Macaca mulatta: one gene and its partners. The protein of the gene in region 5 binds, or shares a complex with, the protein of the main gene of each other region. Links are inferred from orthologs where the notes say so. Each region holds a gene or a part of one and is shown on either strand. Other genes may lie near its edges. The genes, in order: TMEM216, AHI1, CEP290, TMEM107, TCTN1, B9D2 and TMEM231.

Region 1 (4,125 bases), on a different chromosome or scaffold from region 5:
GTAAACCCGGGAGGCAGAGCTTGCAGTGAGCTGAGATCCGGCCACTGCACTCCAGCCTGGGCGACAGAGCAAGACTCCGTCTCAAAAAAAAAAAAAAAAAACCATTTATTTCAGGGATGACATATTCTAACAAATAAGGGTTTTGCTCTGTATTTCTGGGATTATAAAACTTGTCCTACAGGGCAAGCATGTTGGCTCACGCCTGTAATCCCAGCACCTTGGGGAGGCCAAGGCGGGAGGATTGCTTGAGGCCAGGAGTTTCAGACCAGCCTGGGCAATGAGGCAAGACACTGTCTCTACAAAAAACACAAAATGAGCCAGGCATGATGTTGCATGCCTGTGGTCCCAGCTACTCAGGAGGCTGAAGTTGGAGGACTGCTTGAGCCCAGGGCTTCAAGGCTGCTGTGCGTTATGATCGTACCACTGTACTCCAGCCTAGGTGACAGAATGAGATCCTGTCTCAAATAAGTAAATGTTTAAAAAACAAAATCCGGTCAGGTGTGATGGCTCACACCTATAATCCCAGCACTTTGGGAGGCCAAGACAGGTAGATCATGAGGTCAGGAGATCGAGACTATCATAGCCAACATGGTGAAACTCCATCTCTACTAAAAATACAAAAACTTGCCAGGCATGGTGGTGGGCGCCTGCAGTCCCAGCTACTCAAGAGTCTGAGACAGGAGAATCGCTTGAACCCGGGAGGCGGAGGTTGCAGTGAGCCGAGATCGTGCCACTGCACTCCAGCCTGGCAGACACAGTGAGACTCTGTCTCCAAAAAAAAAACAAAAATCCGGCCAGGTGCAGTGGTAATCCCACCACTTTGGGAGGCTAAGGCAGGCGGATGACAAGGTCAAGGGATGGAGACCATCCTGGCCAATATGGTGAAACCCCGTCTCTACTAAAAATACAAAAATTAGCTGGGAGCAGTGGTGAACGCCTGTAGTCCCACCTACTCGGCAGGCTGAGGCAGAAGAATCGCTTGATCCCGGGAGGCAGAGGCTGCAGTGATCCGAGATCGTGCCACTGCACTCCAGCCTGGCGATAGAGAGAGACTCCATCTCAAAAAAAAAAAAAAAATCCTACAGAGATCCTTATTCAGAGTATTGTTAGGGATCTTAGTACTGATCTGTGCAGGATATGCTGCCTGCCCTGACATGGAGCTACAACTGAACCTGCTCCCCCAAGAATACTAGTGAGAAGAACCAGGCACTCCTTTTGCTGTTAGGCAGCTGGGAAGGAATCATCTAATATCACATTCTATTGCCCATCTCTAGCCTTACAGAGCAACAAACAGGTAAATCCTGACCCCAATGTATGAAGCAGCAACTTGAAACTTCAGAGAGGGAGTAATGGGATATACAGATCCAGTCTCTGATAGTCAACCTAGGTGATGTACTTTTCTTGTTAATCAAGTTAGAGATACCAGCTTGTCTCATAAAGAGTGGAAATATTCTCTGGACAACACTCACCAAAAAACAGGCGAATTACTTCAATTCCAAGATAAAGGAGGAGCATCACCACATCCAGTACTAGGTTAGCTGTTGGATATGGTAGCAGAACACCTGCGAATACAAAAGCCAGTGTTTGCAAATAGCATAAAACAGCATCCACAAGAACTGCCACACACTTGAGACATCAGTCTCAAGGACATCAGTCTCAGCTTTCCATGAGCTAGTGAAATGTGGGCATTATTACAGCTGCAGGATACATAAACTCACAGTGCAACCCAGGCTCATTATTATGCCATTTTACTCCTAACTCCAAAAGACTCTGGGGACTCCTCTCTCCAGAATGAGTGGATGCACATGGGTACACGGGCCACTGAATAGTTTCTAAGGGTCATCAATGGGCTTACAGTGGAGCTCAGCAAAGACCAGTGATGTGGGCAGAGTCAGAATGGAGAAGCCCACATTTCCCAAACTCAAGAAATTCTTGCTGAGGGGATGCCATACTCATACTCAAAGAAGCCATCTGATGAGGAGGCCTGCCTTGCAGCGACAAAGAACCGCAGGGGGCAGAAAAGAGCGGAAAATAAGAAGGTTCTTGGTCGGAGTTGGCTCTGAGCTGAAGTGGGGAAGGGGTGCTGTCGTCAAGCCCCATGCCTTCCTTACCTTTATACAGAAATATGAAAAGTTCCAGCAAGAAATAGGTAGCATTATACCACGCGTTCAGAAAGAACAGGATTTCCAGCGGGGTGGAGGACAACCGTTTACCTGAAACAGCAGCACAGAAAAGTGGGATGGGCAGGAAGGCAGCTCCCTCTCTGCTCCTATGGGTTGGTGTCTAACTGGGGAAACCAGACGCCGCAACTAATGGGACCGGCCACCCAGGGGCACTTCTGGTTGCTGATAATGAGGGTACGGGGTGGATGTGGAGGAGGCTTCACTCGTTTCCCAGGAATCACCGCGAAACTCGACTCTTCGGCTTCAGGAGTAAAAGTTAAGAGGTAACTCGCAGCTGACAGACATCTCAAAGATCTCACCCTGTCACTATTTGGGAGGGGAAGTTGGGGCGTGGAGACCAACAGATTCGTACCTGAGCCATCCTAGAAGTGGCCCAGCCAAGGATCTGCGGCTATTTGACCCACGCACCTTGAAACCTTCAGGGACCCAGGGTGGGCGGGTCCGCGGAAGCCCGCTTTGGACCAGGGAGGCGCGATGTCCCTAACGCTACAGAATGGAGGGTTTAGGTCAAGCTCTGGGACAGAGGTGCGAGGGAGGGATCAAAGGGAAAGGGACCAGCGACTCACACACCTCCGGAATCTCACCTCGCGGCGCCATCTTCAGTCCCCGTGGAAACTGCGTACGCTGCCACAGCTGCTCCCGGAGCAGCGCGCCGCTGCCGGAAACAGGGACTGAGCGGCCGGGGTTTCCGGCCCCTCTGCCCGCCCGCGGCACTCTGTGGTCACCCGGAGCGGGACGAGCTCGGGCCAGGCCGCAAGTGGCCCTCGCTCGGATGTCCCCTCTCCAGACCTAAGGGAAAACAGTGACCGCCCACGACGCCGTCGTCTGCAGGAGCTCGGGGTTGTGGGGTAGGACCCTGGAGGCCCTTGGGCTACCGGGCGTTGGGCGGAAGTGGCCAGTTGTGACAATGTTACCAGGAGACTGGCAAATAGGTCCTACTCCCACGATTCCCATTTTTCGACGGAAGACGAGAAACGGTGTGAGCGACGGATCTCTGCAAATGCGGGATGGGAGTTAGCATTGGTCTTTTCTGCGGCCTATTTACCTACCAGGTAGAGACACTAGGGAAATAGAGCGTCCTTTCCAGGAGCACACGTAAATAAACTGAAACGAGTCACCACGCGATCCCTAAAGTGGTGCAGTGGGAGCTGAGAGGACAAAGTGCTCCCAGGTGGAAATCTAAGTCAGTTTCCAAGAGACGGGCTTCAAAATGTGAGCTGGGCTTCAAAGCCTGCCTGATTCGGGTTTGCAGCGGTAAGAGCGTGTTGCTGGCCGGGCTTAGTGGCTCACGCCTGTAATCCCAGCACTTTGGGAGGCCGATGCGATGGATCACCTGAGGTCAGGAGTTCGAAACCAGCCTGGCCAACATGGCGAAACCCCGTCTCTACTAAAAATACAAAAATTAGCCAGACGTAGCGGCGCGCGCCAGTAGTTCCAGCTACTTGGGAGGCTGAGGTAGGAGAATCGCTCGAACCCAGGAGGCGGAGGTTGCAGTGAGCCGAGATTGCGCCACCACACTCCAGCCTGGGCGACAGTGAGACTCTGTCTCAAAACAAACAAAAAAACAAACAAAAACGTGTTGCTGCAGGCGGGGAAGTGCAAAAAGAAGGGTTTTGAGAGGACTCAGGTTGACTTGACTTGGCTGTTAGCCCGTTGTCAATCAGGGTAAAGCCGGAAACAGATGGCACGCTCCAACCAGGTAACCTGAGGAAGGTGACTAGGCTTTATTTTATTTATTTAATTTTATTTTTGAGACGGAGTTTTGCTCTTGTCACCCAGGCTGGAGTGCAATGGCGCTATCTCTGGTCACTGCAAGCTCCACCTCCTGGGTTCAAGTGATTCTCCAGTCTCAGCCTCCCAAATAGCTGAGATTACAGGTGCCCCCCACCACACCCAGCTAATATTTTTTTGTATTTTTAGTAGGGACGGGGTTTCACCATCT
Region 2 (3,500 bases), on a different chromosome or scaffold from region 5:
GAAGACCATGAGAGTCGCTAAAAACAAATCGAGGAACACACAGTCAGCAACTGAAAATCCTAATGATGATGTTAGTGTAGAGGAAGACAAACAAGGAAAGCCAAATAAAAAGGTGGTAAAGACGGTGTCCCAGTTGACTACACAAGATATGAAACTGGAAACTCCTGAGAAGGAAGTTGATTCTACACACCAGAAAGCGCGTACAAAGCCACAGCCAGGCCTTGATCATCAGAAAAGTGAGAAGGCAAATGAGGGAAGAGAAGAGAATGATTTAGAAGAGGACGAAGAACTGATGCAAGCATATCAGCGCCATGTAACTGAAGAAATGGCAAAGGAGATTAAGAAGAAAATAAGAAAAAAACTGAAAGAACAGTTGACTTACTTTCCCTCAGATACTTTATTCCATGACGACAAATCAATCAGTGAAAAAAGGAAAAAGAAAAAGAAAGTTCCAGCCTTCTCTAAAGCTGAAACAAGGTATTTTTACATTGATAAATGTAAAATATCCTCTTAGAAAAACACTCTATTATTATCAGGGTTTGAATATTATCTGTGGTTTAACAAAGAAAATTCTTAGGCTTTTATTTGGAGACATTGCCACTAAGATAAGAACACCTAGCTTTTACTAACACCTTACTATGTACTAGGTGCTTTACGAGAATTAACTCATTTATTTCTTATGACAATCTTATGAGGAAAAGTAATATTCTTCCTATCTTGCTGATGAGGAAACTGAAGTACAGAACTAGTAAGAGGCTGAGCCAGAACCTTGTCTCTATCCTGAACTACTCACTTACATCTGCTTTCTTTTTTTTTTTTTTTAATTTATTTATTATTATTATACTTTAAGTTGTAGGGTACATGTGCATAACGTGCAGGTTTGTTACATATGTATACTTGTGCCATGTTGGTGTGCTGCACCCATCAACTCGTCATTTACATCAGGTATAACTCCCAATGCAATCCCTCCCCCCTTCCCCTCCCCATGATAGGCCCCGGTGTGTGATGTTCCCCTTCCTGAGTCCAAGTGATCTCATTGTTCAGTTCCCACCTATGAGTGAGAACATGCAGTGTTTGGTTTTCTGTTCTTGTGATAGTTTGCTAAGAATGATGGTTTCCAGCTGCATCCATGTCCCTACAAAGGACACAAACTCATCCTTTTTTATGGCTGCATAGTATTCCATGGTGTATATGTGCCACATTTTCTTAATCCAATCTGTCACTGATGGACATTTGGGTTGATTCCAAGTCTTTGCTATTGTGAATAGTGCTGCAATAAACATACGTGTGCATGTGTCTTTATAGCAGCATAATTTATAATCCTTTGGGTATATACCCAGTAATGGGATGGCTGGGTCTTATGGTACATCTAGTTCTAGATCCTTGAGGAATCGCCATACTGTTTTCCATAATGGTTGAACTAGTTTACAATCCCACCAACAGTGTAAAAGTGTTCCTATTTCTCCACATCCTCTCCAGCACCTGTTGTTTCCTGACTTTGTAATGATCGCCATTCTAACTGGTGTGAGATGGTATCTCATTGTGGTTTTGATTTGCATTTCTCTGATGGCCAGTGATGATGAGCATTTCTTCATGTGTCTGTTGGCTGTATGAATGTCTTCTTTTGAGAAATGTCTGTTCATATCCTTTGCCCACTTTTCGATGGGGTTGTTTGTTTTTTTCTTGTAAATTTGTTTGAGTTCTTTGTAGGTTCTGGATATTAGCCCTTTGTCAGATGAGTAGATTGCAAAAATTTTCTCCCATTCTGTAGGTTGCCTGTTCACTCTGATGGTAGTTTCTTTTGCTGTGCAGAAGCTCTTTAGTTTAATGAGATCCCATTTGTCAATTTTGGCTTTTGCTGCCGTTGCTTTTGGTGTTTTAGACATGAAGTCTTTGCCCATGCCTATGTCCTGAATGGTACTACCTAGGTTTTCCTCTAGGATTTTTATGGTGTTAGGTCTAACATTTAAGTCTCTAATCCATCTTGAATTAATTTTTGTATAAGGAGTAAGGAAAGGATCCAGTTTCAGCTTTCTACTTATGGCTAGCCAATTTTCCCAGCACCATTTATTAAATAGGGAATCCTTTCCCCATTTCTTGTTTCTCTCAGGTTTGTCAAAGATCAGATGGCTGTAGATGTGTGGTATTATTTCTGAGGACTCTGTTCTGTTCCATTGGTCTATATCTCTGTTTTGGTACCAGTACCATGCTGTTTTGGTTACTGTAGCCTTGTAGTATAGTTTGAAGTCAGGTAGCGTGATGCCTCCAGCTTTGTTCTTTTGACTTAGGATTGTCTTGGAGATGTGGGCTCTTTTTTGGTTCCATATGAACTTTAAAGCAGTTTTTTCCAATTCTGTGAAGAAACTCATTGGTAGCTTGATGGGGATGGCATTGAATCTATAAATTACCTTGGGCAGTATGGCCATTTTCACGATATTGATTCTTCCTATCCATGAGCATGGTATGTTCTTCCATTTGTTTGTGTCCTCTTTTATTTCACTGAGCAGTGGTTTGTAGTTCTCCTTGAAGAGGTCCTTGACATCCCTTGTAAGTTGGATTCCTAGGTATTTTATTCTCTTTGAAGCAATTGTGAATGGAAGTTCATTCCTGATTTGGCTCTCTGTTTGTCTGTTACTGGTGTATAAGAATGCTTGTGATTTTTGCACATTAATTTTGTATCCTGAGACTTTGCTGAAGTTGCTTATCAGCTTAAGGAGATTTTGGGCTGAGACAATGGGGTTTTCTAAATATACAATCATGTCGTCTGCAAACAGGGACAATTTGACTTCTTCTTTTCCTAACTGAATACCCTTGATTTCTTTCTTTTGCCTAATTGCCCTAGCCAGAACTTCCAACACTATGTTGAATAGGAGTGGTGAGAGAGGGCATCCCTGTCTTGTGCCAGTTTTCAAAGGGAATTTTTCCAGTTTTTGCCCATTCAGTATGATATTGGCTGTGGGTTTGTCATAAATAGCTCTTATTATTTTGAGGTACGTTCCATCAATACCAAATTTATTGAGCGTTTTTAGCATGAAGGGCTGTTGAATTTTGTCAAAAGCCTTTTCTGCATCTATTGAGATAATCATGTAGTTCTTGTCTTTGGTTCTGTTTATATGCTGGATTATGTTCATTGATTTGCGAATGTTGAACCAGCCTTGCATCCCAGGGATGAAGCCCACTTGATCATGGTGGATAAGCTTTTTGATGTGTTGCTGAATCCGGTTTACCAGTATTTTATTGAGGATTTTTGCATCGATGTTCATCAGGGATATTGGTCTAAAATTCTCTTTTTTTGTTGTGTCTCTGCCAGGCTTTGGTATCAGGATGATGTTGGCCTCATAAAATGAGTTAGGGAGGATTCCCTCTTTTTCTATTGATTGGAATAGTTTCAGAAGGAATGGTACCAACTCCTCCTTGTACCTCTGGTAGAATTCAGCTGTGAATCCATCTGGTCCTGGACTTTTTTTGGTTGGTAGGCTATTAATTATTGCCTCAATTTC
Region 3 (3,500 bases), about 22 Mb from region 5:
CTGGAGTGGGAGACTGTTTCATTAAATCCTATAAAATATGAATATATTAGCAAACAGGCATGTATATTTCAATGCCATACTTATTCTATATTTTTAAATTGGTTCTTCAAATGATCAAAATACAATATCTAATCTAAAATTTAATGATTTAACAGATAATGAAGGCTTAAAGAAGACAGGAAATATAGACCTTATTCTTTGTATTTACAATAGCTAACAAAGTGTCTACATGTAGCAGGAGATCAATAAATGTTGACTGAATTAATGAAGTAAGGCTCAAATATGCTAAGGTTATACATTAAAAGATGAAAGACACATCATTTCATACATATGGAACAGAATGGTCAAAAGAGGCAAATATGAGCTGAATTCCGGAAGTTAAATATAGGTAAACTTATAGTGAATAGAATTTGAAAAGAAAGGCAGGTAAGTTCATAGAAGATTGAGTATATGGGTAAGGAGTATAAATATAATTTTGTGAACAGTGATGAGCTACAGGAGGAAGAATGATCAGAGCTACATTTTCAGAAGATTACTTTGGCAACAAAAAGCGTAACTTGTATTCCAAAAAAGGAGAAGATAACTGAATTTTAATGTATTTGGTCTAAAAATCAATAAAGAATGGAACAAAGTTCTTAGAATCTTACCCAAGCTGTTTGTTTGAATTTATTTAGTGAACTATCAGCCTGTAGTTCTAATTTGTGATGAAGAATATGAAGGTCTTCCTCATGTTTCTTCACAATTTCTCTTTGCTCCTGTTTTAAAGAAAATCAAAACTATATCTTAAATTGTGATTAAAATAAATTCACATTTTGAAGACCTTATATATTTTCTCTTTAATCTTCTAAAATTCCTTCGAGATGAGGAAGAAACAGTATCTCCATATATGTATGTATTTAGACCGGTAGGCATGTTCCCTCGCACAGTGTTCAAGTTGACAGGCCCAGCCTCAGTTCATAATTTATTCTGAACATTAGAATAACACGTATCTATCATCTTTTAACTTATTTCTAGAAAAAATTAAATGTCAGCTTTCCCCCACAAAGTTCTAACAAATCTGATTTCTACTGATTACCAGTGTGATATATTTCATTCCCCCCTATTGCCTCAACCCTCACCTATAAACTAAATTAAAATATTTTTCAAAATCATGTGATTTCACCATGATAGCTACTCCTGGTTTAGTTAGTCAGTGTATAAGAGAGATACATTTACACAAACTGCCAGTTTTACTGATAGAGGTGTAATCCAATCACATGCAAGTCACAGTTCTTAAATAGAATCATTTGAAAGCAAGAAAATAACTACCACTTTAAGGTAAAATATTTAGCATTTGCTTAAAAAAACTAATACATGAAACAGTATAACTCATAATAAAATACCTCTCTGGCTTTTTCTAGAAGATGTTGATACTTCTTTAATACTTCTTCTTTTTGATTTAACCTTGCTTGCATGTTTGCAATGGTTTGATGAGCAATTTTCAAAGTGTGGTGAGATTTTGGTTCCATCTCTTTTCTCCCTAGCTCAGCTATGAGCTTTTCTCTTTCTGCAGTGGCAGGCAATCGAAGCCTCAGTTCATTGATTACTTTGTCTCTTGACAGTATATTTTGTTCTGCTAACCTTAAAGCAGATTCTTTCTCTTTCAGTTTCTGCAATGATTAAATCACAATAGATAATTAAAGTATCTTTTTTTCCTTCATCTGAATTTTAGATTAGTTATTAGCAAAAAAAAAAAAAAATTCACTTTATTTTTCACATCATATGTACAATAGCCATTTGATATTTAATAAGGTTAAACTAATTCTAATTGACAACAGTTATTTGCATGCTTATTTATAAGAATATTACATATGTTAGAAACTTCATTGTTATGATGAAAATAAAATTTAATTAAGGTACTTTATCAAGATATTACAGTTAAGAACTATAAAAGTGTGGTGGTATGAGATTTAGGAAGAATATGTAATAAATTATTTCTTTTATTTTGGTCCATTGACTAGCAGAGCATTAGAAGACTAATCTATAAGTCAGTTAAGTACAAAACTGGAATTTTAGTGGCCCAAGTCAATAAATTACTATTATAAAATCTGCAGCTTATTAAAACAAAAGAGAAAAAATCAGAAACATTTTTACTCTTCAAGAGGATTAAGGTGGGTATTTTAAATTAAGTAATTCAATGGCAATTCACATAAATGACAAATCTTACAATTACTGAAGAAGATCTAAGTTTTACTTAAAAATGTACAGTTTTACTTGAAAACTCCTTTATGTATATTTTTAAATGTATTTGTAGTTAATATATTTAGATGAAAACTAAAATGAAAATCATATTCAGTTTACATTATTTTCTGAATAATTTAATGCAGATGACAGATTTGATCACCTACTAATCAAATTCAAGAACTAGGTTAAAACAGAAAGTAATTTCTAATTTACCTTCAGCCCTTTAAAGGGCTGAAGTTTATAAAAGGGAATGAACTGAAAACTGATTCATAGATTATATAACATGCACTTCAAAGGAAAACCAAAAAAATAAGAATAAAGAGATCATATAAGGGAAGATAATATACTGCTCATAGAGCTACAATTAAATGCTTTTTGTTTCCTTTCATATTCAGTGTACCTAAAGGTAACAGGAAGTAATTAAATAGTGAATTCAAATTAACTATATCTGCTGTTCATTATCAGCTATTAGAAACATTATAGGAGAATAGAAAAACAGTGAAATTAGCAAGAGATTCATCATTCTATGCATTGTCCTCATAAAGAAATATTATTTAGAAAGCCCCCCAAACATACCAAATAATACCAAGTAATAATCAAAATGCAAATTCTTCTAATTACCTCTTCTAGTGATCTGCAAGTTGCCCGTGTTTCTAGGATTATTCGAATATTCTCCTTAATTTTTCTTAGCGCCATCTCAAGTTGATTTGGAAGGGGCAAACTAGGGTCAGGGATTGATCCTGTAGCTTCTTCAAACTATTAACAAATAGTATGTTTTTTAACAAAGCAGTGGCAGCATTGAGAGTAACTATTAATATTTATAGCTGTATGATAAAATATAGATTAAATCACTCATATTTTAAATAGACAATATAACAACCAATTAAAATTACATCTGATACAGGAATCATTTCTGTGAGCTAACCCTCTAGTCTATGCTACAGAGTAGCAAACAAGATTCATCATTCATACCTTTTGTGCTGCATTTAGTATTTCATTTTGCTGACGGTCAAAAATGTCTAGTTGACGTTCCAGGTCAACTTCTCTTTGATCCCAGGCCAGTTGTCTTTCTTCATGAAACTAAAAAGAAAGACAATTTATGTCAGACATATATACAAAGACATCAGGCACATAACAGGCATTTTATATATATTTTCTTATGTAATCCTCACAACACATTGAAGATACTGTAATTATTTTCCTTTTGTGGAAAAAAATACAAACTCAGAGAGGTGAAGTAACTTGTGTAAGATCACAGAGAAAGGCAGATGTGAAGT
Region 4 (4,033 bases), on a different chromosome or scaffold from region 5:
GCCTCCCAAAGCGCTGGGATTACAGGCGTGAGCCACTGTGCCTGGCCCGCGTATCCCTGTTTGTAGCACCTATTATCTTACGGATTTATTTGTTTGCATGTCTGTTGTTGATCTCCCTGACTAGAATACTATTACTAGGTAATAAATAAATATATAAAAATATTTGTTGAAGGAATGAGAAATGCCTCTTGGGCTTGTACTTTAGTCTGGCTAAAGGCACTGAGACGTCGAGTGGGAAGTAGGAAGATATTGTTCTCCTGGGAAATGGGCCGGGAGTTTCCTTGAGGATGGGACTTGACTGAGCAATTAGAGAAGAACTTTCAGATCTGCAGGGACCTGCGCTGAGGCCCAAAGGTCATGACGTCGCCGGTGATAAGAGCTTCCTGGACTGTAGCTGGGCAATGTCGGAGGTCCAGCACCTCCAAGAGATAAAGAAATCTAAGTTGAGTTTCCCTTCCCGTAGGCTCCAAGCCTCCCAGAGACGCAGGGACTGTACCATTCCCTTCGTCCACTCCCACCTTTCCAGCCACCTTGCTTTGCTCTTATTCCCACGCTAGTTTAAGGACGCTGACCACTTTTTGCACTCTGCAAATCCTTCACCAAACTGAGCAAAGTAGTCTGAGAGAAATCAGTCTTCCTCAAGGAAGGTTCAGGCCTAGGGTCCTCAGACAACCAGGGGCTCTGTGACAATCTGTAACTGCCGAGCAGTCCAGGAACACCGGCCTCTCCACGTTCGGGTCCCTTGTTTCTCAGGCCCAGCTTGGTGGGAAGTTAAAGGCATGAGGAGAGGAGGAAGGGGAGCGGGTGTGAGTCTTCGGCATGGCGGGGACCTCAGCCCGGCGTGGCGGTGGGAGTGATCTCAAGTGATCCACAACTGGGCAGCGTAGCTGGGGCTGGGGGCCGCTCCCGGCGTGGGCAACCGCGGAAGCAGAGGTGTCCCCAGGCTAGGCCAGGGTGGGTTTCCGTTCGTCGGCCCTGCGTGGGCAGATCGGGCGCTGCGGGGCTGTGCCACCCCTCACCCTCTGAGAAACAAAGGGCCTGGCTGCGCACGGGTACCCAGCCATTGGGTTAGAAGCTCCTTCGGGTACCCCTGACCTGAGTTAGCCCTGAAAGACCCACAGCAGATGGAGAATGTACTGCTCTCGCGAGGTTTTCCGAGAACGCGGCAGCACGCCCGCGTACGCGGTTACCAAGGCAACTGGGCGGTGCCTGAGCTGGCGGAAAGGAGGAGTTCGTCTAGATTTGTCCGCTTGCTGGTGGACTTGCGGGAGTCGCAGTCTCTGAACTTCCAGCCTCAGAGACCGCCGCTCTTGTTCCCAAGGGCCATGGGCCGGGTCTCAGGGCTTGTGCCCTCTCGCTTCCTGACGCTCCTGGCGCATCTGGTGGTCGTCATCACTTTATTCTGGTCCCGGGTAAGACCCACGGCTGCCCTCCGTCCGCCCCCATTCCCATCTCGGAGTCGTCCCCGCCCCACCCTGCCCCTCTCCCAGTGTCTTACCCACTTGGGTTTTCTCGTGTTCCGCCGTCCCTAGGCCTGCCCAGCAGCCTGCCCCTTTTTCACTTCTCTTCCTCTCTGCCCTGCTCCCAGGACAGCAACATTCAGGCCTGCCTGCCTCTCAGGTTCACCCCCGAGGAGTATGACAAGCAGGACATTCAGTGAGCTCTTGGGACGGGGTGGCCAGAACGAAGAGGTGGTGGGAGTGGAGGGGTCTTAGAAGAAGTCCAAAGGCCTGGGCCAGTCCACTTCCTCTCTGCAGGCTGGTGGCCGCGCTTTCTGTCACCCTGGGCCTCTTTGCAGTGGAGCTGGCCGGTTTCCTCTCAGGAGTCTCCATGTTCAACAGCACCCAGAGCCTCATCTGTATCCTTTCTGCCTGCCCACCTTTCCCACACGACCCATTTCTATCAGGACTCCCTTCAGCCACCTGACACAATAGTGTCTGCTGTAGCCAGTCTCTCCAGTTCAAAGATCTTCAACCATGTGCTAAATCCTGCTGTTTACTAGGCACTTAAAATTCCGAAATGAGAGTAAAATACAGTTTTTGGCCAGGCACGTTGGCTCACGTCTGTAATCCCAGCACTGTGGGAGGCCCGCGCAGGAGGCAACATAGTTAGACCCCGTGTCTACAAAATAAATAGTAATAATAAAAACTCCACTTTTTTTTTTTTTAACCATGAGGAGGTAGATACACATCTGTAATTCAGTGTGATAAGCAGTGTGCTATGGGAGTGTGTAAAGATAGCACAGGCAGGGTGCGATGGCTCACGCCTGTAATGCCAGCACTTTGGGAGACCGAGGCAGGTGGATCACCTGAGGTCAGGAGTTCAAGACCAGCCTGACCAACATAGTGAAACCCTGTCTGTACTAAAAATACAGAAATTAGTCGGGCGTGGCGGTGCACTCCTGTAATCCCAGCTACTCAGGAGGCTGAGGAAGGAGAATTGCTTGAACCCAGGAGGCAGAGGTTGCAGTGAGCCGAGATCGTGCCACTGCACTCCAGCCTGGGCGACAGAGCAAGACTCTGGCAAAAAACGAAAGATATAAAGCACATTGGGAACTCAGAAGAGGCAACGGAAGCCAGGCACATGGGTCAGAGAATTGTGGACCAGGAGGACCAGGACACTGGAGGCTGATTCCAGCGCATATCAAGTCGCTGTCAGCACTCCTGTGTGGCATAGCAGGAGAGCCTACTCTTACCTCTCATCTGAAGGATCCAGGCTGGCCCCTAGATATGGAGTAGGGTAGCCTGAGATCCCATCTGCGCAGTCACTTCTGGTCTCTCCTCACATGACTGTCCTAAAATTCAGAAGTCGGGGATGCTGACTCTAGCCCTTGCAATATGGTGAGGGAGCAAACGATGAACCTGAATGCAGATGCCAACCCCACCACTGGCCTTTGGCCTTTTCTGACCCCTCACTATCTGTCGATCCAAAGACTTTCCTTAACTGTGGTGCCTTCTCAAGCCATTGGGGCTCACTGTAGTGCATCCGTGGCCCTGTCCTTCTTCATATTCGAGCGTTGGGAGTGCACTACGTATTGGTACATTTTTGTCTTCTGCAGGTGTGGTAGCATCCAATATTCGGGAATGAGGGAGGAAGGCTGACCCTAAACCTGAGGGTTTTTCCCCTACCCAGCCCTTTCCTCTATGTGGGAGATACCAGATCCACTTAACATCCTGTAGTCTTTTGAATTTTCATTCCCTACCCCATGCCACCTGTCCTACACTTTCAGGGGTGGGGTCTCTGGTTTGGAGATTTGGGTATTTATATTGAACGGGTTTCTGAATCTACCACTTGCCTCGGTAGTGCCCTTCCAGCTGTCACTGAAATGACTTTATTCGTCACCGTCTTTGGGCTGAAAAAGAAGCCTTTCTGAGCACCTTCATGACGGGAACCTAAGGACGAAGGCTACAGGGGCAAGGGCCGCTTCGTATTCCTGGAAGAAGGAAGGCATAGGCTTCGGTCCTCCCCTCGGAAACTGCTTCTGCTGGAGGATATGTGTTGGAATAATTACGTCTTGAGTCTGGGATTATCCGCATTGTATTTAGTGGTTTGTAATAAAATATGTTTTGTAGTAAGATTAAGACATATACAGTTTTCAGGGCACAATTGAAATGGCGAAACTACTGAAGAAAAAAAAAGAAGCAACGTTATTTTCTAGTTCTGCAGACCGTAAGATACTTGGTATCGCTTCTATTTTGGTTATTACGGTAGTTGTCTGGCGGAAGGGAGTGGGCGGAGATATGTAAATAGAAAGTGCTTACAGTTAGAACGTCCAGCACGTAAATGATCGGAGCATTCTGGGAAAAAGAAATTTATTCCTTTTCGGCAGCCGAACGAAAAAATTCTTTTAAAAATGTGCAAGCAAATATGGCAATACAACTGGAAGGATGCTAAGTAGTAGGGTTACTTATACCAACGCGTCGTGAACTCACCCTAGCTGTAAACGGAATCTTTTTGACTGAGTGCGGAATGTCGGCTATTTAGAAATATCGTCAGGTGGGATAATCCTTACCTGTTCCTCTTTTGGAGGGCA
Region 5 (3,500 bases):
TGCCAGGTATTGTGGCGTGCACCTATGGTCCCAGCTGCTCGGGAGGCTGAGAAAGGAGAACTGCTTGAAGCCAGGAGGCAGAGGTTGCAGTGAGCCACTATCGCACCACTGCACTCCACTCTGGGCGACAGAGCGAGACTCCACCTCATTAAAAAAAAAAAAAAAAAGGCTTGAAATCTCAATTATAAGAGATCATTCAGAACAGATTATTTCTTTACCTTATAATCAGCTGGGAATGTCATTTTTCATTGTTCTATACAATGCGAACTGTGAGAATTCCTGGTAGATTTACATATCAGAAAAGTACAAAAGATTTCTTATCTAATTTTTTGTTACAAGTACTATGTCCACAACAAAAGCTGTGAAATTAAACTGCACTTTTCACCCTAGGCTATACTAATTCACTGATACAAAAAATGTGACCACTGTCTGTTTACAACTCAAATTGAAATGTGATTCAATCTCTAAACAAAGAGGTTTCATTACAATCTTTTAATGTACATTCTCTCTTCTCTTTTGCCCGCACAGTCACCTGGTTGAATGCAGATAAGGGACAGCTACTTTTTTTTTTTGAGACGAGTCTCACTCTGTCGCCCAGGCTGGAGTGCAGTGGCGAGATCTCCGCTCACTGCAAGCTCCGCCTCCCGGGTTCACACCATTCTCCTGCCTCAGCCTCCCCAGTAGCTGGGACAGGTGCCCGCCACCACGCCTGGCTAATTTGTTTGGATTTTTAGTAGAGACGGGGTTTCACTGTGATAGCCAGAATGGTCTCAATCTCCTGATCTGGTGATCCACCCACCTCAGCCTCCCAAAAGTGCTGGGATTACAGTGTGAGCCACCGCACCTGGCCAGGGACAGCTACTTTTTTACATATTTGTTTGGATAGTATGGCTTCAGAACGATGCAAAACACCGGAAATCAGGTTTGGGTTTTTAAGCCTGGGAAAGTTTTCCCTTTCCCCAAATTGTATTATCCTGGTCAAATTTTATCAAAATTGCATGTGTCATACGTAAACTTACGTGACAACTGGAACTGAGCAGGCAGAAAAGACACTGAAATCCACAGAGCTGCAGTCAGGATCACAGCAGCAGTTGACGTCACACTGTGCTGGGGACAAGTCACAGACACACAGAGCAGCAACTGCACAAAAAAGAGGGGTAGGATCCAGAGCATCACCATCAGCAGGTGGTGACTGCCCCCTGCCACCACAGTGTACCATAAGTCAATTTCATACAAAGGGTCCATTTTATTTTTCCTATTGCATTTTGGGGGAAATTTGTGAAGTGGAAATGAGTCAGTTTGAGCATTCCACAATTAGAGGTTTCCCCAAAGTTGCTAATGATCTGACTCGCTTGGAAAGTTCTGTTAGTGCTTTGCCTACAGAGATGCTGATTTGATAAGCTGAATACGAAACCCAGGCATTTGCAGCTTTCAGAAACTTTCCAGGTGATACTTATAATTAGACAAGTTTAAGAACCAGCACGCCTAAACCATTTGCCTGACCATAGAACCACCAGTTTAAAACTCCAAAGTCCTTAAGCCTCTTCTCCGGAGATTACGAGTCAGAGGAAGGGCCCACTTAAACCTTCAGGAAAGAGGTTTTTCAACCTTGCCCCTCTCTTCATGTATAACCTGCTGCTTTAAAGCTGAACTCATATTCACAGATTCTTGGCCAAGAATCATAACGGCTCAGGTGCTCAGAATGTCTTTGGTGATTTAGACAATAAGGTTTGAGGGCAGGGTAGGAATCTCCCCCACGTCACAACTTTTATTTTATTTTATTTTTAAAGGAGTTTCAGCTCTTGTTGCCCAGGCTGGAGTGCAATGGTGCAGTCTTGGCTCACTACAACCTCCGCCTCCTGGGTTCAAGCTATTCTCCTGCCTCAGCCTCCTGAGTAGCTGGGATTACAGGCATGCACTACCATGCCCGGCTTTTTTTTTTTTTTTTTTTGTATTTTTAGTAGAGATGGGGTTTCACCATGTTGGCCAGGCTGGTCTCGAACTCCTGACCTCAAGTGATCCACTGGCCTCAGCTGCCCAAAGTGCTGGGATTACAGGCGTGAGCCACCGCTCCTGGCCAACTTTTAATTATTAATAAGGATGATTTTTCTTTGCCGCTTTGTAACAAAAATGATTATCTGGATTTTCAATTCTCTATTTTATTCTGTCAAATAAGGAAGAGAAAGCCCTTTTAAAAAAATAGAGAATGAATTTATGGTTGCAATTATTGCTGGAAGGGAAGAAGTAAGATCAACCTTCAATCATATCTGTAATGTTTTCTTTTTCAAAAGAAGATTTCAAGGCCAGGCATGGTGGCTTACACCTGTAATTCCAGCACTCTGGGAGGCGGGCAGATCACTTGAGGTCAGGAGTTTGAGACTACCCTGGCCAACATGGTTAAACCCTGTCTGTCTTAAAAATACAAAAATTAGCCAGGCATGGTGGTGGGCACCTGTAATCCCAGCTACTCAGGGAGGCTGAGGCAGGAGAATCACTTGAACCCAAAAGGCAGAGGTTACAGTAAACTGAGATCACACCACTGCACTCCAGCCTGGATGACAGAGTGAGACTCCATCTTAAAAAAAAAAAAAAAAAAGAAACTCAAGCCAAAAAACAAAAATAACGAAAAAGGAATCTGAAGCAAATGCTGCTAGTGTCCACCCAACATTCTTTTTTGTACGTATGAATTATTTCACGATAAAAAGGAGCTTTAGAAAAATGTACCCCAGAGCAGCCAGACATAGTCTCAACCTCAGGAGGTTGAGACCAGCCTGGCCAATATGGTAAAACCCCATCTCTACTGAAAATACAAAAATTAGCCAGGCATGGTGGCATACACCTGTAGTCCCAGCTACTCAGGAGGCTGAGGCAGAAGAATCACCTGAACTCAGGAGGCAGAGGTTGCAGTGAGCCGAGATCGTGCCACTGCACTCCAGCCTGGGCGACAGAGCAAGACTCCATCCCCTCCCCAAAAAAAAAGAAAGAAAGAAAAAAGAAAACAAAAGAAAAATATATCCCATAGCTCACGCCTGTAATCCTAGCATTCTGGAAGGCTGAAAAGGGTGGATCCCCTGAGGTTAGGAGTTCGAGACCAGCCTGGCCAACATGGTAAAACTCCATCTCTACTAAAAATACCAAAAAAATTAGGCATGGTGGCGCACAGCTGTAATCCCAACTACTTGGGAGGCTGAGACAGGAGAATTGCTTGAACCTGGGAGGTGGAGGTTGCAGTGAGCTGAGACTGCGCCACTGCACTCCAGCCTGGGTGATAAAAAAAAAAGAAAAGAAAAAGTACCCCATAAAAGGTATAATGCACTCTGGAAAAAAATGTGTGAGGTGAAGGGGAAGGTTTTGTTAATACACGATAATTTCTTAGTCTAAGACACAAAAGCTTTCCCCCTAAAGTTTAGAGTGCTTCTAATTGAGAACTCTTCTATGTGCTTAGTAAAATGATACAACTTATGCATGCTAATGTAAAAAATAAAAAGTGCTTTAGGTTC
Region 6 (4,143 bases), on a different chromosome or scaffold from region 5:
TTTTCCATGCTGGTGACATAGCTGTGACTATAGCAGACCAAGGTCCCATCATGGAACTGGATTCAGACTCAGCTCTAACTGCAGAGCCCAAGCCGTTCATCCAACTGCCTCAGTATTCTTGGCTGGGTCAACACCCCCAGCAACTCCCTGAAGTAATAAAAATCAGGTTAGTCATTACTCCCTTCTGGGCTGAGTGAGGGAAGCACCAGGCCCTCAGTCAGGCTGCTTAAAAGCAAGATTTCCCAACAGCCCTATGAAGAACAGATGAGGAAACTGAGGTTCTAAGAGGGGATGGCATCTGCCCAGGGTCACAGAGAAGGTGAGTGGTGGCGTGGAACCTGGAAACCAAGTCTGACTCCAGAGTCTGCCTCTCTTCCATCAACTGGAGGGTCCTGATTTCCTGGGAATCTCAACTTCTACCTCACTTACCTGTAGAATCAAAAAGGACCAGAGGCCAGGGGCAGTGGCTCACACCTGTACTCCCAGCACTTTGGGAGATCTAGGCGGGCGGATCACTTAAGGCCAGGAGTTCGAGACCAGCCTGGCCAACATGATGAAACACCATCTCTACTAAAAATACAAAAATTAGCTGGGTGTGGTGGTGGACGCCTGTAATCCCAGCTACTCGGGAGGCTGAGGCAGGAGAATCACTTGAACCCAGGAGGCAGAGATTGCAGTAAGCCGAGATTGTGCCACTGCACTCCAGCCTGGCGACAGAGTGAGACTCTGTCTCAAAAAAAAAAAAACGGCCAGGCGCGGTGGCTCACGCCTGTACTCCCAGCACTTTGGGAGGCCGAGACAGGTGGATCACGAGATCAGAAGATCGAGACTATCCTGGCTAACACAGTGAAATCCTGTCTACTAAAAATACAAAAAAAACTAGCCGGGCATGGTGGCGGGTGCCTATAGTCCCAGCTACATGGGAGCCTGAGGCAGGAGAATGGCGTGAACCTGGGAGGTAGAGCTTGAAGTGAGCCAAGATTGCGCCACTGCACTCCAGTCTGGGCAACAGAGAGAGACTCCATCTCAAAAAAAAAAAAAAGGGACTAAGACTCAGGCCTGAAGACATGATAATGCCAAATGGCCACATCTGTTTCATGGACATTTATCTGTGCCAGGCAACCACATACCCCAGGCTTTACAAACAAGACCCCATCAAAGTCTTGTATGAGCCAGGCAAACACTGAATGGGCACTTCATATTCCAGCCCTATTCCTATTCTAAGTGCTGTTGATATTTGTTTAGTACTCATGACAACTTCAACAGGTAAATATTTCTATTACTCTCATTGTACAAACAGAGAAGTCGAGGTGAAGAGAAGTGCCCAAGGTCACATAATCAGCCCAAGAGTGCATTAACAAGCAATAACTAGTTTTGAACCCAGGCAGTCTGTGCTCTTAACCTCAAACCTGTGCTGCTTCTTGGCTGCTATTAGCTTCACTTTCAGACAAGGAAACTGAGGCTCAGAGAGGTCAAGTCCAAAGGTCTCCAATTAATAGAAGGGAGAGTTAGTATTTAAATCCAGATCTGGCAGCCCATGGCCCTAACCATTACACTATACCATGACTCTACAGGGCCTCAGTTGGGGAAGCATGAACAAAATTACTTTCCTGGGATGTGGTGGCTCATGTTTTTAATCCAAGCACTTTGAGAGGCTGAAGCGGATGGACTGCTTGAGCCCAGGAGTTTGAGACCAGCCTGGGCAACATAGCGAGACCCTGTCTCTACAAAAAGTTTAAAAATTAGCCACACTTGGTGGTGCGTGCCTGTAGGCCCAGCTTCTCAGGAGGCTGAGGTGGGAGGATCACTAGAGCCCAAGAGTTCGAGGCTGCAGTGAGCTATGATCACACCACCTTACTCCAGCCTGGGCGACAGAGAGAGACCCTGTCCGTAGCCCCTGCACAAACGAAAAAACAGATGGGAGCTTGAGACTCACGTGGACAGGGTGTGGGCTAAGCCTGGAGTACAGAGAGCTGATGGAAGATGAGGTTAAGGCGCTGCGTTAACAGGTCGAGGAAGGAGCATGCAGCCTCTAGGCTAGGGGTCTTGGTGTGGAAATTAACCAGGCCTGGGGGAATACCTGTGTGAATGCCCCACTTGCAGAACAGGCTACTTTCCGAGAAACCGCTGGCCCCCATGATCTGCCCGATCACGTGCACCTCAGCCATGGCCCTGGGATGGGAAAAAATATAATCACAACCCTGTGAGGTAAGTATATTATCTCCATTTGACAGGAGGGGAAACTGAGGCCCAGCAAGTAAAGGGTAGTACTAGGATTCCAAGCTAGCTTCCTCACACCCCTGAGGCTGAGGTCTTGACCACAGATCCTAATTGCCAACCCATGAAAGCCTGGAAAAAATGGGGGGACCCTTGTCTGGGGGGAACCAGCATTTAACTCTGCGAGGTCTAAAATACCTTCTTTGGGTTCAGGTCAGCGGAAAGCCCCGCCCACGAGCGAAAAGACCCGCCTTCCGCGTCATGTCAGCCACCCCGCTTCCCTCACCCAGCAAGCTCTATAAGGCGCATGCGTTGAGTTCCGGGCCGACTTAGCCACGCCTCCAAGCGCAGCGCATGCGTTATTCCTACCTTAGCGCACTTAACGGTTAGGAGGGGCGAAAGCGGCAACGGGGGTTGTAGTTCATGGGGTTGAGTTGACTCGTTTTTTTCTCCGCGGGCGCCTACCAGGCCTGGCTCGCGCCTTTCCCAGGACCTTCCCGGCTGCGAGAAATGGAATCCGCGATATTCCGCGTCCGCGCTCGCCTTGGGTTCCGTGGTTGTTGCTGGAGCAACAGCAGGCTCCTCCCCTGGCTTTGTACTCGCCCTCCGCGCCACTGATTGGTGTTAGCCGTCCCCGGGAGGCGGGGTGAAACTGTGATGGACATTTTCCTCCTCTCGCTCCATTTTGGGAAAATAGCGTCTCTCCAGCTACGGCAAAGGGTTCCGCCATTTTGGCCGTGGCTAGGAAGCTGCCATGTTGAGTGTGGCTGAGGAAGTTTGAGTGCAGTTTCTCCCAGATGTCCTCTTTACCAAAAAAAGCAAATCCGTAACTGCTCCGTGCTGCGTGAGGACCCCACCGAAGAGCTCTCTATGGTCCGGGATCACAAATCAGAGACTGAACTATGACCAAGGAGGAATTCCTTCCAGGACCTCATGTACATCCCCTACCTCATAACTGGAAAACAAAGCAAAAAAAATCACTCCTCATTCACAGAGAGTGGAGAAATTGGGGAGTGGGTTCTGCTTCCGTTTTAGAGTTCCCCTAGGTTTTTCAAGGACAAGGAAGGAAGTTGGACTTACCCAACTTCTACCAAGCTACTACCAAGTTCACTGTTAAACTGCTTGAGTCTGAGCAAGGAACCGTTGGGGTAGCGAAGAGAAATGAGGAACTGGGATCCCCTTATTTGCAGAAAATCCTCTTTTCTATTGATTGATTTCTCAATCAAGAAATGGAGATGTCCCTGGATGCCATCATAGATGCCATCATTTCCCACATCAAGCCAGTCATCAGGTCCCATCAAGACTCCATAAAAGGGTCGCACTGTGTAACCCAGGCTGGAGTACGGTGGCTTGATCACAGCTCACTGCAGCCTCTGAACTCCTGGGTTCAAGGGATCCTCCTACCTCAGCCTCCCATGTAGCTGGCATCACACACATGCGCCACCACGGCTGGCTAATTCTTTTTTTTTTTTTTTTTAAGAGATGGAGTCCTGCTGTGTTGCTGTGTTGCCCAGCCTTTGTCTTGACCTCCTGGGCTCTAGCTAGCCTCCCAGTTTGCTCTCCCATACTGCCGGGATTACAGACCTGAGCCACCCAGCCAGGCCAATAGACACGAGTATTTAAAAGCCACCCTTGGCTAGGCTCATGACTGTAATCCCAGCCCTTTGGAAGGCTGAGGCGGGAAGAGCTGTTGAGGCCAGAAGGTCGAGTATAGTGAGACCCCCATCTCTACAAAAATAACAAAATAATGCATATATCAACTAGTGAAATATTCCAGTGAATTGTTTAATATAAATGTTATCCTACTGAAATGTTGCCCCCTCCTTATAATTTTGGATTTTTGTTAGTTTTTTTTTTTCTTTTTTTTGAGATGGAACCTCGCCTTGTCGCCCAGGCTGGAGTGCAGTGGCGCGATCTCAGCTTACT
Region 7 (4,175 bases), on a different chromosome or scaffold from region 5:
CCACACTGGCCTTGAACTCCAGGGCTTAAGCAATCCTCCTGCCTTGGCCTTGCAAAGTGCTAGGATTACAGGTGTGAGCTATCATATCTAGCTGCAAATATTTTTATCTCATTTACTTGATCATTTAGAAATGTATCTCCAGGTCTTGAGATAACATTTGCATTGAAAATTCTCAATTTCTCAGTTTTAGGCATTCTCTATTGAGTTCCCACAAGGAAAGATGATTTAGCTTCTTCTCTCCCCCAACTCCTCCCACCATCCCCTATCACATTCTCAATACCTTTCTCATTACCCCCAACAGAGTTAAAATCTCTTTTTAGTCAACATTCAGTGTTCATATAATTAAGACTATGTAAATCCTATTCACAACTCTCATAAGTTTTCAGTTCTCAGTTTTCCTTACTTTTCATTTCCCTGCAGTTAATAATGATTTGCTTAGTTTTCTATGTACTTACCTAATTTCATCAAAGAGCTGCTATTCCAATTCCTCACAATCTGATGTTTAAAGGCATACGATTTAGTCAAAACCTTGTTCACAGAAATATTGTCCCTAGGCCAGGCACGGTGGCTGACACCTGTGATGCCAGCACTTTGGGAGACCAAGGCGGGTGGATCACCTGAGGTCAGGAGTTCGAGACTAACCTGGCCAACATGGTGAAACCCCTTCTCTACTAAAAATCCAAAAATTAGCCTGTAATCCCAGCTACTCGGGAGGCTAAGGCACGAGAATTGCTTGAACCCAGGAGGTGGAGGTTGCAGTGAGCAGAGATTGCAGCACTGCACTCCAGCCTGGACAACAGAGCAAGACTCCGTCTCAAAAAAAAAAAAGAAGAAAAAGAAAGAAAGAAAAAAAGAAATGTTGTCCCCAATAGTGAAAAAGTCAAAACAAACCTCAAAAAGAATATGGCTGATTAATAAGTATTGATACATATACAAAACTGGGCCTTCAATTTTGGTCATTATATCTACCTGTAACTCTATATTATTTTAGAATGAGCATGCACTTTTGTAATCAGAACATAAGAACATTCGTAAAGTAACAGGAGAAAAGTAACCTGAATCATATTAGGTTGTTGCAAAAGTAATTCCGGTTTTTTTGCCACTACTTTTAATGGCAAAAGCCGCAATTATTTTTGCGCCAACCTATTACTATTCTTTTTTTTTTTTGCAGTTATTTATATGACCAATTGGATTTTAAAAATTTATTTCTATTTATTATTATTATTTTTTTGAGACAGAGTCTCGCTCTGTCGCCCAGGCTGGAGTGCACTTGCGCGATCTCGGCTCACTGCAAGCTCCGCCTCCCGGGTTCACGCCATTCTCCCGCCTCAGCTTCCTGAGTAACTGGGACTACAGGTGCCCGCCACCGCGCCTGGTAATTTTTTGTATTTTTAGTAGAGACGGGGTTTCACCGTGTTAGCCAGGATGGTTTCGATCTCCTGACCTCGTGATCCGCCCGCCTCGGCCTCCCGAAGTGCTGGGATTACAGGCGTGAGCCACCGCGCCCGGCCCAATCGGATTTTTAAAAACAATTTTATTTAGTTGCTGGGAACAAGTCTGATTTTCTTTTCTCCTCAGCTATACAAGGTTGGCTTGTAGGGCAATCATCTTAGAGATGTCTGAAGAGATTCAACTTTGAAAGAAGGAAAACCGTAAGTGTCATACTTCTAAAGGAAAACGTTTTCAGAAAATGAGTGAAAAGGAGTGACTATAAAGGAAGCATTCGCTTATCTCAAAGCAAATACTAAATTACAGATTCCTCTCAGCACTCTACTGATGAAAAATTTAAAAATAAATAAATAAACTACAGACAGTAACATGCTTCAATTTCATCCCGACAGCTTCAGGATGACGCAGTCTCCAATGGGACAAACCCAGGGAGGCGTGACTCGGCCATAGCGCGTTCTGGGAAGGCCGCTTAACCAATCAGCGCCTTGGTTTCCAGGGGTCAGGGCTCCATAAAAATGCCGCCCTTTCCGCTCCTACAGTGGTGTGATGCAGAAACGCCGCGACAGAATGGGGTTACCTACATTAACAGCGCGCTGCCTTCAAGGCTCCTAAATGGACTTTCACAAACACCCTCCATCAGGCCAGGCCCGCGGGTGTGACGGGGGCAGACGCAGGCTGCCTCCACACCTCTGGACTCTGTATCAGGGCGCATATGCTGACAGCGTGGCTAACTTTCTGGGGGCCGGGGACGTCTGGGAGAAGCAGAATGAAACAGAAAATCGATTCCCTAGGTCCCAGGAGATGAAACGCCACCTTTGCGGGTTCGCGAGTCCTTAGGATCCAAGCTGGGTTCCCCAGGGCCGGGGCCGCTCGCCCCACATCCTCATTCCCGTCCCCGTCCCCACCCCACCGCCCGCTTTGCCCCAGGCCCAGGCGGGAACCACGCACCGAAACGAGCGGGACGCGCAGGCGATCCCCCTGCAGCCGGTTGAAAGCGGGGAACGTGCTCCAAGCGAGGAACCCGCCGCTCTCGGGTCCCAGCAGGGCCACGAGCAGCACCTGGTGTTGGAAGCGCACGGTCGGCTGCTCCTCGTAGCTGCTCCTCTTCAGCCAAAACCCTGAATTAAAGAAGGTGGGGAGGCCGTCAGGGAGGCCGGCCCCGGCCGAGCGCGCCCGGGGAGTCGCGTGACACAGCGGCTGGGGCAGGCTCACCGTGGCTCCGGAAGGCCACCAGCAACGGCGGGATGTACGTGAGCGCAGCGGCCAGCAGCAGGAACAGCGCGGCTTTGGAGCAGAGTCCCGCGCGGTAGCTGCGCTCGACCGGGTGAGAGAAGAGATCGTAGAGCGCCATGAGCACCGCGCGCCGGCACGCCGCGAGCCGGAGGACCAAGTTTGGCTTCTCCTGGTTGCCATCGCCTCGGTCTCCACGGCAACCGACGGCTCCCGGAAAGGAGCCAATAGCAAGGCCAGACCGAAAGGAGCCAGCGGCGAGGGCGGGGTTAGCGGGCGTGGCGCCGCCGGGGACTGCCGGCCTAGCTTTTCAAGCTGTGTCCCTTTGCGTAAAGGCTGGGCGGCGATAGAACGTTTCCGTGGACCAAAGTCGTGGCTGTTGTCTGTGTTAACATTTGTGTAAAATAAGATGCCCATAAAAGTTGACTTGAACACTGAGGAGGAAAAATTAAATATTTAAATTTGAACTGACATGGACACAAACAATGGTCACCAAGTTCCGAAACAGGTTGTGGGAGCCCCTTGAGGCGTTCATCCAGCGCTGTTTCGCAGAAATCTCTATTTCGTTCTATTCCTATACGTTAGTTATTGAAAAACAACAATCACAAAAACAAGTTGACCTTTTTGTGTTCCTTGAGCCCAGCCACGAAGGGCCCTCGTGACTGGGCCTCATGTCAGACAACATGTTACAAAAAGAGCTAGGATCCCAGACCACCCAAAGCTTCATGACACCTCTTCTCATCTGGGCACTGACTGAAGAGTGGCCGGCTCTGGAGCTCAGGCTCTTGCTTCCCAGTCTGGAGGTGAATCCTCCATAGTCTGATGAGTGTAAATATATATATGTCTTTTTCCTTCTCCTCTTCCCATTGCAATTTGCTTATATCAATCTGCTTATTATATTAATTTGCTTATTATAATATCTGCATTGCCATTTACGTGGGATAAAGCTTGCTTACCCTTAAAGGTATTGTGTGTGTGCCTTTTCTTCTCCCCTCGCGCTCCTGCACACAACAAACACCTGCTTTTGTGTCATCTGTTAATCCCCAGTGTAGTTCCTACTGAAATCCACTCAGTCACAAGCCTGGCCGCGGTCCTGGACCTGGTCCTGGGCTAAGACCAAAGCCAGGTGTCTTTGCTCCCAGATTTTCTCTTGCTTCCACTATGCTCCAATGCAAGACAAGACACGGAAACACAAATCCCCTGGCTCTTGGAGGGATAGAGTGGAATATTACAAAGCTCTGATGCACTTTGTTAACCCTGTGTTGGGTACAAGCTCAGCGGCGAGTTTTATAGGAAGCTGTGGTCCTCCCCAGAGATCACTGGCATATTGCTTAATTGAATGCTTACACCCCCCACCGCCCCCAACCATATTTCGAACATGGTAGAAGGACTTTAAAAAAAACAACTATGGTCCACAGCCAAGTTCTTCATCAAATGGCCCTGAATGGCTGGGCGCAGTGGCACATGCCTGTAATCTCAACACTTTGGGAGGCCAA

Evidence for each region.
Region 1: TCTN1 (region 5) and TMEM216 share a complex: the UniProt entries of both Homo sapiens proteins name them as parts of the tectonic-like complex. The link is inferred for Macaca mulatta from reciprocal best matches to the Homo sapiens genes TCTN1 and TMEM216.
Region 2: TCTN1 (region 5) and AHI1 share a complex: the UniProt entries of both Homo sapiens proteins name them as parts of the tectonic-like complex. The link is inferred for Macaca mulatta from reciprocal best matches to the Homo sapiens genes TCTN1 and AHI1.
Region 3: TCTN1 (region 5) and CEP290 share a complex: the UniProt entries of both Homo sapiens proteins name them as parts of the tectonic-like complex. The link is inferred for Macaca mulatta from reciprocal best matches to the Homo sapiens genes TCTN1 and CEP290.
Region 4: TCTN1 (region 5) and TMEM107 share a complex: the UniProt entries of both Homo sapiens proteins name them as parts of the tectonic-like complex. The link is inferred for Macaca mulatta from reciprocal best matches to the Homo sapiens genes TCTN1 and TMEM107.
Region 6: TCTN1 (region 5) and B9D2 share a complex: the UniProt entries of both Homo sapiens proteins name them as parts of the tectonic-like complex. The link is inferred for Macaca mulatta from reciprocal best matches to the Homo sapiens genes TCTN1 and B9D2.
Region 7: TCTN1 (region 5) and TMEM231 share a complex: the UniProt entries of both Homo sapiens proteins name them as parts of the tectonic-like complex. The link is inferred for Macaca mulatta from reciprocal best matches to the Homo sapiens genes TCTN1 and TMEM231.

What each region holds. Positions count from the first base shown.
Region 1 is NC_133419.1:12,654,266-12,658,390, forward strand, and holds the start of TMEM216 (transmembrane protein 216), read right to left. Parts: upstream 2,801-4,125; 5' UTR 2,781-2,800; coding exon 2,768-2,780; exon of another isoform or gene 2,754-2,767; intron 2,214-2,753; coding exon 2,112-2,213; intron 1,563-2,111; coding exon 1,470-1,562; intron 1-1,469. UniProt on the Homo sapiens protein: Part of the tectonic-like complex which is required for tissue-specific ciliogenesis and may regulate ciliary membrane composition.
Region 2 is NC_133409.1:40,570,889-40,574,388, reverse strand, and holds part of AHI1 (jouberin), read left to right. Parts: coding exon 1-477; intron 478-3,500. UniProt on the Homo sapiens protein: Involved in vesicle trafficking and required for ciliogenesis, formation of primary non-motile cilium, and recruitment of RAB8A to the basal body of primary cilium.
Region 3 is NC_133416.1:95,330,402-95,333,901, forward strand, and holds part of CEP290 (centrosomal protein of 290 kDa), read right to left. Parts: intron 3,304-3,500; coding exon 3,196-3,303; intron 2,980-3,195; coding exon 2,845-2,979; intron 1,650-2,844; coding exon 1,383-1,649; intron 756-1,382; coding exon 648-755; intron 29-647; coding exon 1-28. UniProt on the Homo sapiens protein: Involved in early and late steps in cilia formation. Its association with CCP110 is required for inhibition of primary cilia formation by CCP110.
Region 4 is NC_133421.1:9,692,387-9,696,419, reverse strand, and holds TMEM107 (transmembrane protein 107), read left to right. Parts: upstream 1-1,233; 5' UTR 1,234-1,325; coding exon 1,326-1,412; intron 1,413-1,588; coding exon 1,589-1,656; intron 1,657-1,739; coding exon of another isoform or gene 1,740-1,757; coding exon 1,758-1,858; intron 1,859-2,695; exon of another isoform or gene 2,696-2,794; intron 2,795-2,961; coding exon 2,962-3,058; intron 3,059-3,303; coding exon 3,304-3,373; 3' UTR 3,374-3,628; downstream 3,629-4,033. UniProt on the Homo sapiens protein: Plays a role in cilia formation and embryonic patterning. Requires for normal Sonic hedgehog (Shh) signaling in the neural tube and acts in combination with GLI2 and GLI3 to pattern ventral and intermediate neuronal cell types.
Region 5 is NC_133416.1:117,801,403-117,804,902, reverse strand, and holds part of TCTN1 (tectonic-1), read right to left. Parts: intron 1,141-3,500; coding exon 1,020-1,140; intron 1-1,019. UniProt on the Homo sapiens protein: Component of the tectonic-like complex, a complex localized at the transition zone of primary cilia and acting as a barrier that prevents diffusion of transmembrane proteins between the cilia and plasma membranes.
Region 6 is NC_133424.1:52,507,080-52,511,222, forward strand, and holds the start of B9D2 (B9 domain-containing protein 2), read right to left. Parts: upstream 2,801-4,143; 5' UTR 2,587-2,800; intron 2,493-2,586; exon of another isoform or gene 2,416-2,492; intron 2,173-2,415; 5' UTR 2,169-2,172; coding exon 2,081-2,168; intron 1-2,080. UniProt on the Homo sapiens protein: Component of the tectonic-like complex, a complex localized at the transition zone of primary cilia and acting as a barrier that prevents diffusion of transmembrane proteins between the cilia and plasma membranes.
Region 7 is NC_133425.1:70,906,483-70,910,657, forward strand, and holds the start of TMEM231 (transmembrane protein 231), read right to left. Parts: upstream 2,801-4,175; coding exon 2,662-2,800; coding exon of another isoform or gene 2,568-2,661; coding exon 2,398-2,567; intron 1-2,397. UniProt on the Homo sapiens protein: Transmembrane component of the tectonic-like complex, a complex localized at the transition zone of primary cilia and acting as a barrier that prevents diffusion of transmembrane proteins between the cilia and plasma membranes.